Pelodiscus sinensis: one gene and its partner. The protein of the gene in region 1 binds, or shares a complex with, the protein of each later gene. Links are inferred from orthologs where the notes say so. Each region holds a gene or a part of one and is shown in the gene's direction. Other genes may lie near its edges.

Region 1 (7,144 bases):
AGCAAATTGAATTTTAGCTTGCCTTTCTGACTAAAGTAAATGCTTGAGTTGTCTGGTTCCAGCGTGTAGATCACAAGTCTCATTTTCCTACTTAAAACTAAGCTGTGTCTTGCAGCTGCAACTTAAGTTTGTAAAGCTCAGTAATTAGAATCTCATCTGGAGATTTCCCATCTCTCTCTCTCTCTGGGTACATCTACACAGCAGGGCAAAACTCACATTAAGTTACGCAACTTCAGCTAAGTCAATTGCATAGCTGAAGTCAAAATAGCTTAATTCAGCTCTTGGTGCTGTCTACACAGTAGGAAGTTGAAGGAAGAACACTCTCCCTTTGACTTCCCTTACTCCTTGTGAAATGGGGATTACCATGAGTCAGAGTAAGAAGTCCTCCAGCTCGACATTATTTCAAAATAATGTCTTGCAGTGTAGATGCACTCTTCTGAGATGTTATTCCGAAATAACGTTACTGTTATTGTCAGAGACCAGTTGCTCCCCCAATCAGGAAGAGATGTGGGGGGTTAAGGTGCAGTCTACCAGCCAAGCCTTACAAGGCTGGCTCTTCCCCCAGTGGCTGATTCTGCCTCAGCACATACAGCCTATTTGTCTTCTTGCGGGCAGTCTGTCACTTTCTGTCATCCTCACTTGACTGTCAGAGCTCTCTTTAAGTAAGTCCGCCATATGGAGCATCTCCGAGAGCTGTTCAGGGGTAGGGCCCTTTTAGCCCAATACTGCTTCACCATTCCTTTAACCTTAGGCCTGGTCTACACTAGGGCTATGTCTACACTGGTAGGTTCTTGTGCAAGAAGTATTGTGCAAGAACATGTCCACACTGCCATGTGTGAGATGTGCTTTTGCGCAAGAGCATCCATGGCAGTGTGGACACTCTCTTGCGCAAGGAAGCTCTGATGGCCATTTTGGCTATAGGGCTTTCTTGCACAAGAAACCCCTGCCGTGCATCCATACTGCCCTCTTGCACAAGCGCTGTTGTGCAAGAAGGCTTACACTTGTAAAAAAAGAGCGTAGCTCTTGCGCAAGAAGCCCTCTCTTACCATGCCGTACTGTAAATCTTCTTGCACAAGAGTGGGTGGTTAGTGTAGACGTAGCCTAGAAGTTTAGGTTGAACTTAACTACATTAAGTAGATTTTCTAAACACTGAATCTATACCACCAAGGGGGTTTGTAATATGCTGCTTTCCCATGTCTCACACACCGTGCCCAAGCTCCTGCCCTGAACTCCGTTTCTGTCCCTTCTTCCTTGTGTTCACTAAATAAAAACACATTATGTCTCAACAACAGTATCTTTATTGCTTTTGTTGCCTGGAAGAGAGGTTACAGGATTTACAGGCAAGCACACTTAAGAGCAATGCACATGACTGTCATATCATTGTCTGGCCATTCACAAAGCTGTTTTTCAAAGCTTCTCCGATACACAATGCATGCTCCTTATTTCCCTAGTGTCAGGCCCCTCAGGCCCCCACCCTGCATAAAGCTTTCCTCCTTACTTTCACAGGTATTATGGAGCACACAGCAGGCTGCTATAACAATGGGAATGTTGCTTTTGCTGAGATCTAACCTAGTAAAAAACTTCAAAACCTTCCCTTTAAAAGTCCAAAAGCATATTCTAGCACCATTCTGCACTTTCTCAGCCTGTTGTTGAACTGCTCCTTGCTGTGATCCAGGCTGCCTGTGTCTGGCTTCATGAGCCACAGGTAGGAAGGGGTAGGCCGAGTCTTCAAGAATTACTTTTAATGGCACTGACCTGCTATGTAAAAAGACTTTGAGATCTTGGGATGAAAAGCTATAAAAGAGCTAAGCACAGAGAAGAATAATTCTGTGGGCAGGTTGCTAGCCTAGGATTTGGGAGACAGGTAAATGCCCTGCTGTGCCACAAACTTCCTGTGTGATTTTGGACAAGTCATATAGGGTATGTCTACACTTTTCAAAAAATCCCAAACCCTGAAGCAACAGGTCTCACAGAGCCCAAACCAACTGATTTGGGTCATGGGATTGGTGCTAAGGGGCTAAAAATAGCAGTACAGAGATTGCTGTTTGCCCTGGAGCATGGGCTCTTGAAACCTGAACAAAGGTGGAGGGTCTCAGAGCCAGGGCTCCTCCTCTGGTGGAAATGTCCTGACATTATTTTAGTCCCATAGCAAACCTAAGTCAGTTGACCAGGGTCCTGAGATTCGCTGTTGTGGGGATTTTTTGCAGTGTAGACATACCCAAAGACTCTCTGTGCTTCAGTTCCCCTTCCAAAACAGTGATAGTGGTACTTCCCAACTTCACAGGATAATACATGAAAGATTGTGGGGTGCTGACACACTATGGTGAGGGGGGCCATATGGGCATGTAGAATACTTAGTTCCCCTACTTGTCCATGCCTTCTGAATCTAAGTAAGGCTTTATCCAGCCCACCCATAAAAATTGCCCCCCTTTCCACATCCTATCCACTGCTTGGATCCACTTTCTAGCTCCCCCTCTCCCAGACTCTGTTGCTGGCTCTTGAATCCCTTGCCCCAATCCTATTTGCCATTACCTGCCCAGCCATGCCATCCCTCACCTCCACCACCCCGGTCCCTCATATCCCTTCCCCTTCCCTGCTGTATCCCATCGCTCCAGCAGCTCCAGCAATTGCTCACATGGAAAAATCACATCAGCAAAGTATGTCATGTATTTTTAGCTTCTTTTAATGCAATTTAGCAGCTGGAAATCAGCGGAGGCGCCAGCCTCAAGTCACCCGCCAGCTCTCTGCGGACCACCAGCGAGGGCTGCAAGGAGCTCAGGCTGGGAACGGCGGGGGTGAGCGGCTGCCTAGGAGCCGCGCCACCGGCCTGTGCTCCCCGCCAGAGAGCGCCATTGGCTTTCCCGAAAGCCCCACCCTGACTTCCCGGCCCCGGGAGCGCGTTCCGAGCCGGCCCGCAGAGCTGCCCCGGACCACGATTAAAGCCGCGCGGGGCCCGTGCGCTGAGTCTCCCCCCGGCCCCGAACGCGGTGCAGCAGGGTCTTGTTGCGGGCCCAGGCACGTGCCCACGTCCCATTTCGGAACCCGCCAGCCCGGCAGTGGGCTTCGTCCCCCAGGATCACCCCGCGGGCGGGGCCCAGGGGGAGGGAGGCGCTGCTCAGCGGGGCGGCGGGGAAGAACGCGGTCAAACCAGGGCTGGGGAGCAAAAAGTGGGAAGTGGCAGGAGAAGGGGCGCGAGCGGGACGGTGCAGAGGGGAGACTGGGGGCAAAGCACCGACCCTCCCCCCTAGGGAGGTGGGACACCGGCCCGAGCCAGACAGCCGGGCGAGAGGCCGAGCCTGGGATTTGCCCCCCTCCCCTCGCGCCTGTGCAACGCATTAAACCCGGGTTGAATGTGAACGCTGGGCCGGCAGGTCCCTCCCCCACCCTCCTGCAGGCCCGCAGACGTCATGGGAGGGAGGTATAAAATTTCAGCCGAGCGGAATAGAGAGTCAGTGTGTGAGGGAGCGAGGGGGCCGGGGGCCAGAGAGGGCGAGCGAAAAGGACAGGCGCGCACGGGGCTCCGGCTGCGCGTGGGGATACCGCCCGCAAAGCGAGGCGAGGGGCAGCGCTGAGCTACCCCAGGCTCCTACCTGGACCCCGCGGAGACGCCGGAGGGATGTGCAGCGCGGCCGTCGCTTAATTCCTCGCAGCGCCAATGGAGCCAAGCGGCCGCGAATGACAAACCCCGTCCTGCCCCGCGAGGGGCTGTGAACTAAGGGGCGCGCGTGGATAGTGCATGCCCGCAACAAGTGTGCGGAGCCTGCGCCTGCCCGTCCCCGGGGGGCTGCCTGACACGGGCGCAGGAGGTCGCTGCTCCAGGGGACCTGCCTCTGGAGCTGCGAGACTGCCCCGCGGCACAGTCGAGCTCCAGCCTCTCTGCGGTTGTTCCTGGCTTCGTGCGGAGGCGCCCTCCCCTGCCCTGGTCTGTCTGGAGCCCTGGCTCAGCGGGTCCTGCTTGGACACATGGAGAAAGATCCCGGCTCGCCGCGGCACAGAGCCTGTTTCTCCTTCCTAAGTGTTGCCAGCGCTTCCTGGAAGTCCTGAATCGCTCACTGCACAGTGAGTTCATGCACCTTCGTGCCAAGCCTCAGTCTGCAGGATCTGGGGAGGCTGTACCGAAAGCCCTGCCTAGTCTCCTTAGCCCACTTGCGCTTCCTCTGGGGTGTCCCCTCGTTGTGGCTCCCTCTTTACTCTCGCACATGAAGATGCACTTGCAACGGGCGCTGGTGGTCCTGTGCCTGCTGAGCTTTGCCACCGTCAGTCTCTCGCTCTCCTCTTGCACCACCCTAGAACTCGACCACATCAAGAAGAAGAGGGTGGAGGCCATCAGGGGGCAGATTCTGAGTAAGTTGAGGCTCACGAGCCCCCCCGAGACGGTAGGACCAACTCATGTGCCCTACCAGATTCTGGCCCTGTATAACAGCACCCGGGAGCTGCTGGAGGAGATGGAGGAGGAGAAGGAGGAGAGCTGCTTTCAGGACAGCACCGAGTCCGAATATTACGCCAAGGAAATCCACAAATTTGATCTGATCCAGGGTCTTCCCGAGCACAGTAAGTTCCCCATCATCCTCTGCTCCTGTGCATGGCTTTCAGGGCGTCATCCTGGGAGGGACCCAAAACTGAGCAGGAGGTGCATAGTGCATGAAGCCCAGAGGCAAGGCTGCCTAGGGTGGGGAGCAAGAAGGAAGGGACAGCAGTGCCTTCTACTGGGACAGGGGAGGGGGAATGCAGGAGGAATACTTTGCACTTCCCTCTGGAAGGGATGAAGTTTCCTGGCAGGAGCATTCACAGATTCTGATAGCCATTCTGAGGCAGGTGTCTAGTAACTGTGGACACGTCTGCTTTCCCATCCACTTCTAGCAAAGAAAAAAAATAGCAACTCTTTTGTTGTCTTTTTTTAGGTGATTGATCTAGGCCACATTGCTGTAAAGTGTGTGCCTGACAATGCTTATGTGTGGGTGTGTATGTACAGCTAGTTGTGTAGCTTTCTGTACAAAAGTGAATGTGTACACACAGGTCTATTTTTGCATGTGCACATTCTATATTATGCATTGTCTGTCTGTGTCTGCGCACATGTGCATGTATTTTATATGTGAATGTGTGCGCACATGTTTGTCCAAGTATGTGTGTGCACATGTGTGAGTGCCAGTGCGTCTGTTTATGTATCTACATTTTTTACCAGTGAGATAAGACTACGTGTGTTTCAGCCCTATGTGAGGCTGGAGTGACATATGAGACATTTGTTTCTGTGTCTTGGGGTATAGCTGAGTGGGAGTAATATGTTTTCATATCTTCATGGAGGTTTGTACATGGTTGGGAAGAGTCCATGCGTTTCAGTGTGCAGTGTTTCTTGGCATGTGTATTTGCTCATATAGGGAAGTTGTGAGATGTATATGTGCTTTTGCATGCCTTTGAACATATATGTTCAGTGTATGTGAATCACATGATTACAACAAAGATTTTCAAAGCACAGTAGGAATGAAAGAAATCTGGCAAATGCTGAGAGACTGCACAGACGAGAACCCCAGAGTCTGGGAATAGCCTCATGCTGCCTTCATACCATAAGGTGTCCTCATGGACGCTGAAATTATTGTTTATTGGGGCAGCAAGTGTGTATGTTGGGGGAATAGAGTGAAGACAACACTAGAGAGCCATAGGTGTGGGGGTGGTATGTAGAGTGTATAGGGGAGCCTGGAGATAAGCAGTGTGAGTGGGAGGGGTCTGAAAAAAACCTAAAGATGAATTTTAAAAACAATTTTTTTTAAATGGCCAAGTGCTGGCTGGAGAGCAGCCTCCAGCAGGTGGAGGAGTTTGAGCATTGGCAAGCGGCAGGCAAGGGATGGGCTTTCAGTGTCTTGGAATAACATCAGCCTAGACTCTAGCCAAGGAATAGCAAGCCCAGCCAATGTTTGAAGCCCTGATATCCTGAAGAAGATGGGAAGGGAGGAGACACATACACCCGACTGGAGGAGAGAGAAGAAAGAAAAAAGATGGTGAGCGGAGGCGATGAGGAGGAAAGAGTTTGGGGCTTGTAGGCTGAATTCACCCTAAAGGATTAGTAGCAGAAATAAAAGCGTGTCTGCATGCGGAAAACATAGTCCCAGTGCTGGGCCATATTAATCTGTGGCAAAACTCTGCTGGCTTCAGTGGTTGCAGTAGGAATGGATTTGGCTCATTTACTCTGCAGAATGTAGTCAGATGCAGAGAAGACAAAGATACATGTACAGAGGAAGGCAGACATGGAGATGTGGAGAGGTACAGCCACTAAGGGAAGACAGAGGAGATGCTGAGGAAACTCAGATACTAAGGAGACACACACAATGATAAGACACTGCATAAATGCAGAGGAGACTCAGATGCTGAGCAGATACTGGAGAGACGCTCAGGAGAAACAGATACTGAGGGGACAGATAATGAGCAGAGGATCACATAGATGCTGAGCAGGTGCAGAGCAGACACCAAAGTAGATGCAGAGGAGATCTCAATGGGACACACACACACCAAGGAGATACTGAAAAACAGATGTGGAGCAAGTGCAGAGCAGATGTTGAGCAGATACAGATGCAGACACTAACCAGATTCAGGTTCAGATACAGACCTAGAGACTGAGCAGACACCAATCCCGAGCAGATTGCAGATGTGGGAGCTGAATGGATGTTGGGACTGAGCAATCCCTTCAGTCAGTGCTGGAGATTCCTCAGTTCTGGAATACAATGGAAGACATGCAGTGATGTCCCAACACAGGGGTTATGTCTAGACTGGCAAGTTTTTCTGCAAAATCAGCTGCTTTTGCGGAAAAACTTGCCAGCTGTCTACACTGGCCACTTGAATTTCCGCAAGAACACTGACTTCCACTGTCTGAAATCAGTGCTTCTTGCAGAAATACTATGCTGCTCCCGTTCGGGCAAAAGCCCTCTTGCGCAAATCAGTGCTTTTGCGGAAAAGTGTCCGTGCCAATCTAGACACTCTTTTCCGCAAATGCTTTTAACGGAAATCTTTTCCGTTAAAAGCATTTGTGGAAAATCATGCCAGTCTAGATGTAGCCAGGGTGTTCCTTGATGCTGTAGTATTGCATTGGGGATGCAGTTTTGGTGATGGAGGTTCCTGGTGCTGTGTTATGGAGGAGCTGCATTGTGTTGGCAGT
Region 2 (7,198 bases), on another chromosome or scaffold:
CCAAGTACCGAAAAAACTTGAGGTGTAGCTCACTCAAAACCCCCATGTTTCATGTTGTGAGAAAACAAGCATGTGGCTCCTTCATAAGCTCTGAAGCTATGTTTACATTGTGGTTTCTTGCACAAGAACATATGCAAATGAGGCATGGTGATGAATATTGCCGTGCCTCATTTGCATACTTAATGAGCCTCCATTTTTGTGCAAGGGGCTTTTTCTTAAGAAGGAACAATCTACACTGCTCCTTCTTGTGCAAAAATCCCCTCTTGTGCAAGAGCTGTTCTGCCTGAAAATAAGTGGCAGAACGGCTCTTGCGCAAGAGGGGGGGTTTGCGCAAGAAGGAGCAGAGTAGACAGCGCCTTCTTGCGCAAAAGCCCCTTGTGCAAAAATGGCAGCTCATTAAGTATGCAAATGAGGTGCGGCAATATTCATTGCCATGCCTCATTTGCATATGTTCTTGAGCAAGAAACCACAATGTAGACATAAAACTAATTTGCATATGGTCTTGCGCAAGAAAGTGCAATGTAGACATAGCCTGAGTGTTTCAGTGCACAGAGAAGGCTTGAGGAGGATGTACTGAAAATTAAAATCAGGCAAGTGGTGCGTGGTTTCTGTTTGTGCTTCAGACATCTATCACTGCTCTTCTCAGCAAACATACCTCAACAAACCATTCTCTAGTGCATAGGTTCCAAACTGGGGGGTGTGAAGAAATTCCAGGGGGGATGTTAGGCAACCCAGCCCACCTTTTCCCCATCTATCCTCTCCCCAAGAAAGAGCCCGGTCCATCCGGTAAAAAAATTCAGAAAACGAATGGATGGAGCATTCCGGGCAGACTTCAAAATGACTGCCTTCAAAGGGCAATGCCTGCTCTGCTCTTAAAAGGGCAATCTTTTTCCTTTTTTGGGTCAACGACTCCCCCCTCCCCGGCCTTTTTTTTCTTTTTTAACACTGATCCTGGGAATTAAAGGGCCGTGACTGGTTTCCTCTCCCCCGTCCCTTTTCCCTCAAGTTTTGCTGCTATTTTTTGGCTGGGGCGGGGGAAGTTTGAGGGTTTCTCAAAAATCAAAAAGGGGGCGTGATGCCGAAAGGTTTGGGAGCCACTATTCTAGTGGCTATCAAAATAAGCTCTGGCATTCCTCTCCAGATTGCTAATGAGGGGGAAATGTTTTGTCTTGGCATATTGTATAGGATTAAAACGAGGCAGCTTGAACCAATGAGCTACAGGCTGCACAGGCTATTTGGTGTTCAAATCCTGAAGTCCTTATACAGGCCAAACTCCCATGGGACCAATGGAATTTGCCCTGTGTAAAGATTTTAGAATTTAACCCATAAACGTTAAAGAGATATGTGTATGGCTGTGTACACTATGGAATGCCTGATCGTAAAATACACAGTATGAGGAAAGCTGGAGACAAGAACAGCAGACTTTTTACACCCACATAGTCCTATTCTTGGACCTGGGATATCAAAACCATCCTGCATATTTCTGCTAAGCTTTCCATCTTGCTTGCAAGCAATTAAGTGAATCTATTATGGTCTTGTTCAAGTCATGGGGCACTGACAGAGAGCAACCTGAACAAACCAGTCAGTATATGCGCCCTCTTGAAGAGCAAATATAAAATATTGTAAAGCCTAAAATTGAAAATGTGTTGCATGTACCTCTGAACTTAGGCTGTTTAGTGCAAAGTAAATTTTATATTGATTCATCTGTGTAAGTCAGTGCACAATTCGAATTTTGGGAATATGAGCAGCTTTTTGTTATATCGATATCTAAGCTAATTGCACAAAATCACAGATGCTGCTTAAGAAAATTATATTTACAGTAACATTAAGAGTATGATATAAAAGGGAAAAGGTTCTCACTTATTTTTAATTCATCCTCATGTGGCCACAAACATATTTACTTAGCATAAAGTGTCATTGGAAGTGTATATGGCTGTGCAGACAAAAATACAATGAAAGTATTACAAACAGTGGGGCCGACAGACTCGCTGGGCCCCTGGGTAAGGTGAGGGGTTTTGGCTCCATGCCCCTGGAAGGGGCAGGGCCTCAAGCAGAAGAGGTGGGGCTAGAGCTTGCTTCCTCCAGACAGCCCTCAGCACTGGACCCTGGGGCAGTTGCTCCCTTGCCCCGCTCCACCCCACCCTTATTGGCAGGCCTGATTATAAGTCACAGCACCATATTCACTGGATCGCAGATATTTCCCAATATCAAAAAGCCACCAGGCACATGGAGTAAGTTAAGACTGAGATGTAGAAGCCTCACTTTTCTGTTTATGAACAAGGTTAAGCGTTTGATTCTGAATTAGATAGCTAAATACAGATACATAAGGTTTGATTCTGCCATGCAGTTGATGTTATCTTTACTTGAGTGCGGGAGCTGCCCTCAGAGGCCTATGCTGTATTTTGTTGAAGTTAATAGGGGAGAATCTGTGCAGTTGCAGGATTTAGCCCTTTGTTGCTTTAAGGAGTTTTTTGGGGGAACCTTACCAGTGATTCAAAACCCCCAGTTTAAGAATACCTGTTAATACCCCTCGGATGCCTGTTAAATGCGTTACTGTCTGGTTTTCTGCAAGCCTAGCAGAATCTTTTTTTTTTTCTATTTGATCTTTCAGACCCAAAACATAGCAGTTCTCATTCTTATTCCTTTACTATCTCAATGAAAAGAGCTATTCAGGATATACTTGGCTTATGGGACACAGCAATTTTACGGGTTAGGGTGCACTGAATCCATACCTGACTTACTGCTGGGTGGGTAGAAAGTACACATGCAAATGCTAATTTAACAGTGCAGCATTTGTTCTTTGTATAGTTTCAGCTCCAAATGTTTGGAGAGGATCTGCATTTTTTAAATTTATTATTATTACTATCCTGTTACAGAAATAATGGCATGCGCCACAATTCAGGCCTGGATGTTTTGTTTCAGCTTATCTCTGGTCATTTGTGGTCCTTTCTACATGTCCTCTAATATTTTTGTACAATTAATTTTACTCTTACATAGGCACAATAACGGCTCCATGTACTTTGTAGCACATTGGATCTAGATCATGCCACCTGATTTATGAAACAGGCCCTCTCTCCTCAAAGTGTCTCATTAAAGTGGCAGATTTTCAGTTCTAAAAGTGACATGTTGATTACTTAAATTTCTGTTTAGGTTAAAGTCCATATGGTCCATAAAATCTACTGTGTAAACTCCCTTTAAATCAATGTTTAAGTATTGTAAAGTTCACACTATGGTCAAATTCTAATCCCATTCAAGTCATTGGCAGACTTGCCCTTAAGTTCAAAGGGAACGTGTTGCATGTTGTTTGATAAATAAAATGATATACTATATGGAGCCCATAGAATTGTAGACATATAGTACAGATTATATCCATCATGAGTAAGGGTTCTGCATGCTAAATTTTTAAAACTGTTGTTGTTTAAAATGCACATAGAGCAGCATGGTGAGGTGGTGATTACAGAGTAGCAGCCTGAAATATTTATAACATTTTCCTTCTATTTAGATATAATACCTACATTTTGTAGAAACATCATACAAGTATCAGACTACCTATCCACTGAACTGATAAGTCATTAAGGCCTATATTTTTTAAAGTGGCCACTATATTTTTGGTGCCTCAGTTTTTGAATATCTAGCTTGATTAATCTAGAACCTAATTTTCAGATAGGCTAAGCAACCACCACTCCAGCTCACATATAATGCCCATGATGTCTCAAGCGATGCATGTACAATTAATGGACACTTGAAATTTTTGTCCTAAATGGTCATAATTTGGCTGAAAGCCTGGATCACTATGGAAATAGCTGGAAAAAAGAGGGCCACTTCTGTATGACCAGACTGCTCTTCATTCACCACCAAGAAGAGATCAGATCTTAGTCAAGATGGGAGTCACTGTATTATATGATTAATTCCCATTTCCATTGTTTCTCCTAACTAAGAAAGAGTCTCTTAGGCCATAGGGGCCTTTAGTCACCGTGGTTAGTGAAAGACATTTATTTATCAGAAACTGATGTATAGTCATCCAACAGGAATATTATAAATGCATTTGTATACCATCAAAGCAGCCTCTCTTGACTTGTTCACAAAACAGGCGTCAGGATCTCCATATCTAATTGTTAAATTGTACCAATGCTGTATTTTAGTGCCACAAAATATGTAAATCCCCGGCATGCCTCTGTTGTGGCCACCCCAGCATTCTTTGTTTATGCTATGTTTGAATGTATTCTAGCACATAAGATTTATCTTCCTGCTTACTCTTAGTACAGTTCCAATATAAGTAATACATTGGCATAGCTTTGCCATTTGTCAGCCAGCAGTCTGGTAACACATTTGCTCGTCAATCTAATTTTAACCTTTTCTCACACAAGCACTTGGTATTTCATGTAAATCAACCAGACATTCTGTTTTTTACTAGGGCTGTATCTTCATAGTCTTCTAAAACCATGTGCTTCACCCAAAATATTCATTTTAACTTGTGGAAGGATAATTAAAGCTTATGAGGTACTTAAGGACTGTTAATACCGGAACACTTGGAATCTGTTTATTACCACAGCAAAGATAATTATGTCTAGCGAAGATTTTTGAAAATGAGTATGATAACATCTTTCATCATTTTCTGAAATTAAAGGCCTGTCCTGAAAGGTAAGTGATATAATGCATGGCTAAAAAAATCTTACAATAATGCCTGGCTGAAAAAACTTGCTACATAAGTTCTAGATCTGTATTCTTGTTGTTTTAATCTTCATCTGGGCATAGAAGAAATATACATCTATGATGAATTCATAAATATATTTATAAGTAATCACATTTTGGCTCAGTTCACACAACAGATTTTTTAAAGATAATGCTGATTGCTAAAGAGGATGTGTTTCATTCTAAAATACATTGAAAAGTAGACATATTTGTGAGTGTGTCTTCAGTATCTCTTGATATTGGGTAGCAGCTTGTGTAGTTAACATTTAAGGATCTTCTAGCATTTCCTTTACTTTATCACTTTTTCTGGGGGTTATTTGGCTGAGTGTTCACTCTTTCTTCATATAGCAGTTTTAGATGTTTTGTAAGTGTCACTATGACCCAAGTCTTTATTTCTTTTGTATTAAAACTGGAATGGTGAAGGTAATTAGTCACAGGTGGTAGTTTCAAACATTCTGCTGCATTAAGAGGTCTAAAATATATAAATATGATTATAAACATGTATTAGAATAATCTGTAAAGTCTGCCAAGAATCCAGTCCCACATAATACATCCAATTTATAATTCTATACAACTTCCATGCACTCTTCAACTGTTAATTATTAATAATCATGCAAAAATAGCTGTTTTTAGTGATCTGATCAAATGATGCTAAAATCCTATTAATGAAAAAAATGATATATTAACACAGTGACTGAACACTTCACCCAGGTTTAAAACAGAGAAGATAAAGCTATGCTTAACTGCTATAATTTATTTTTAATAATCATTCATAGCATTATAGCTATTACTGCACACAGCCCATGGAATCCCATTGGGAAAGACCCATGAAGGCCACAGGCAAGACATTAAATTGCCCATTTTCACTAGTTCAGAAAACCCTCTACTCCTACACTGAAATGGAAGGAGACAATCCCATCATTCTTTCAGCCCATCCCCACTGCTCCCACACTCTTTTTCTCAACATAATTGTTGAAGTTTCCACTAAATGATCCTTTGTAATGAGCAAAGGGTGTAGACCAAATCTTGACCTCCCACAATCTGCATGGATTTATTTGTGTTGATTGCCAAGTTCTTTGGGATGCGGGCTGTCTTACTAAGTGTTGCACAATTCAGCTCTGATTCTGACTGAAGACTGTAGTCACTACTGGCAAGAGAAATAATAATTAAATTGGTTCTAGCACATTTAAGGCTTTCCCCAGAGGGATTGGCAGAACTTGCCCATCACATAAAAAAATACTCAGACAACAGTGTGGTTCTAATGGTCAGGACACTGGAGCAGGACTTGGGGTTAGCCACTGTGGGCAAGTCACTTCCCCTATAGTGCCTGAAAGGCAATAATGATATGAGAATCATGGGGCTGGAAGAGACCTTTAGAAGGTCATCGAATCCAACCCCCTGCTAAAAGCAGGATCAGTCTCACCTACATCATCCCAGCCAGGGCTTTATCAAGCTGGGACTTCAAAATCTCTAGGATGGAGATTCCACCACCTCCCTAGGTAACCCATTCCAGTACTTCACTACCCTCCTAGTGAAATATCCAACCTAGACCTCCCCCATTGCAATTTGAGACCATTGTTCCTTATTTTGTTATCTGTCAGCACTGAGAACAGCTTCTCTCCATCCTCTTTGGAACCCCTTTCAGGTAGTTGAAGGCTGCTATGAAATCTAAGGTTGTTATGGGCAGGTAATTAGGTTATCATGTAGTTGATACAATTTGTATCGACTACACAATTAACCGAAAAGGACAGCACTACCCCCGCTGCAGCTCTGCAGTTTAAATGTAGTAAGAGCCGGGCGCCAGTCCTACTCTAGGGAAGTCAGTGGCAAAACTCTTGATGATTCCAATACAAGTAAGTTATGTGTCCTTAGTGTCCACTGCCTCAATTAGTCTTTGTATTCTTCCAAATATTTTCCGTATCAATCTTTGAAGCTGTCTTGCTTCATTGGGTGAATGGGGGAGTCACATATTCAATGTTTCTTTCAACAAGAGAGTTTTGGTAGTAGTAAAGGCTAATAATTTCTCATTTGTGGGAATCAGTAGAAAGTAGGTGAAAAAAGGCCTGCAACACCTGACTATAACCATGAGCTGTGTGCGGTAAGGCCCAATTGAAAATAATTGGAGATGAGCATTATGACAGAATGCTGGAAAACAGAAACTGATACAGCACTCTGATCACTGCCACTACAAGTAGTTGCTCTAGAATAGCCCTGATTAAGACCTGTGCCTAATTGGTAGCTTGGGATAGGCTAAGAAGAGCCCAAAAGACTAATAAGCCCATTATCTAAGGAGTAGAACAGGGATACACAGGAAGTACTCAGGGTTAGAGAGAGATTGCAGGTGTGCCTGAGCATTCTGAGTGAAGATACCTTCTGTGCTTCCTCATTGACTGAGCGAGCTAAGGGTTGTATGATATTGCAACTATGGAGCTGGATGAGTTTGTATGGTAGTGGGGAGAACAAAGTGAGGTAAACCATGAGCTATCTGACCAGAAGATCTCTGAGA

The links. The genes of interacting proteins can lie anywhere in the genome.
Region 2: the proteins of TGFB3 (region 1) and ITGB6 are in contact, whole or in part, in a crystal structure (PDB 4UM9), measured with the Homo sapiens proteins. The link is inferred for Pelodiscus sinensis from reciprocal best matches to the Homo sapiens genes TGFB3 and ITGB6. Residues at the interface, in NP_001316868.1 of Homo sapiens: His259, Gly262, Asp263, Leu264, Arg266, Leu267, Lys268; in NP_000879.2 of Homo sapiens: Ser142, Ala143, Ser144, Asp147, Pro196, Cys197, Ser199, Ile200, Tyr202, Cys204, Ala234, Asn235, Ile236, Asp237, Thr238, Glu240, Asp271, Lys355.

Annotation. Positions count from the first base shown.
Region 1 is NC_134714.1:43,367,054-43,374,197, forward strand, and holds the start of TGFB3 (transforming growth factor beta-3 proprotein), read left to right. Parts: upstream 1-4,067; coding exon 4,068-4,551; intron 4,552-7,144. UniProt on the Homo sapiens protein: Transforming growth factor beta-3 proprotein: Precursor of the Latency-associated peptide (LAP) and Transforming growth factor beta-3 (TGF-beta-3) chains, which constitute the regulatory and active subunit of TGF-beta-3, respectively.
Region 2 is NC_134717.1:33,576,430-33,583,627, reverse strand, and holds the start of ITGB6 (integrin beta-6), read left to right. Parts: upstream 1-4,185; 5' UTR 4,186-4,641; intron 4,642-7,198. UniProt on the Homo sapiens protein: Integrin alpha-V:beta-6 (ITGAV:ITGB6) is a receptor for fibronectin and cytotactin. It recognizes the sequence R-G-D in its ligands. Internalization of integrin alpha-V/beta-6 via clathrin-mediated endocytosis promotes carcinoma cell invasion.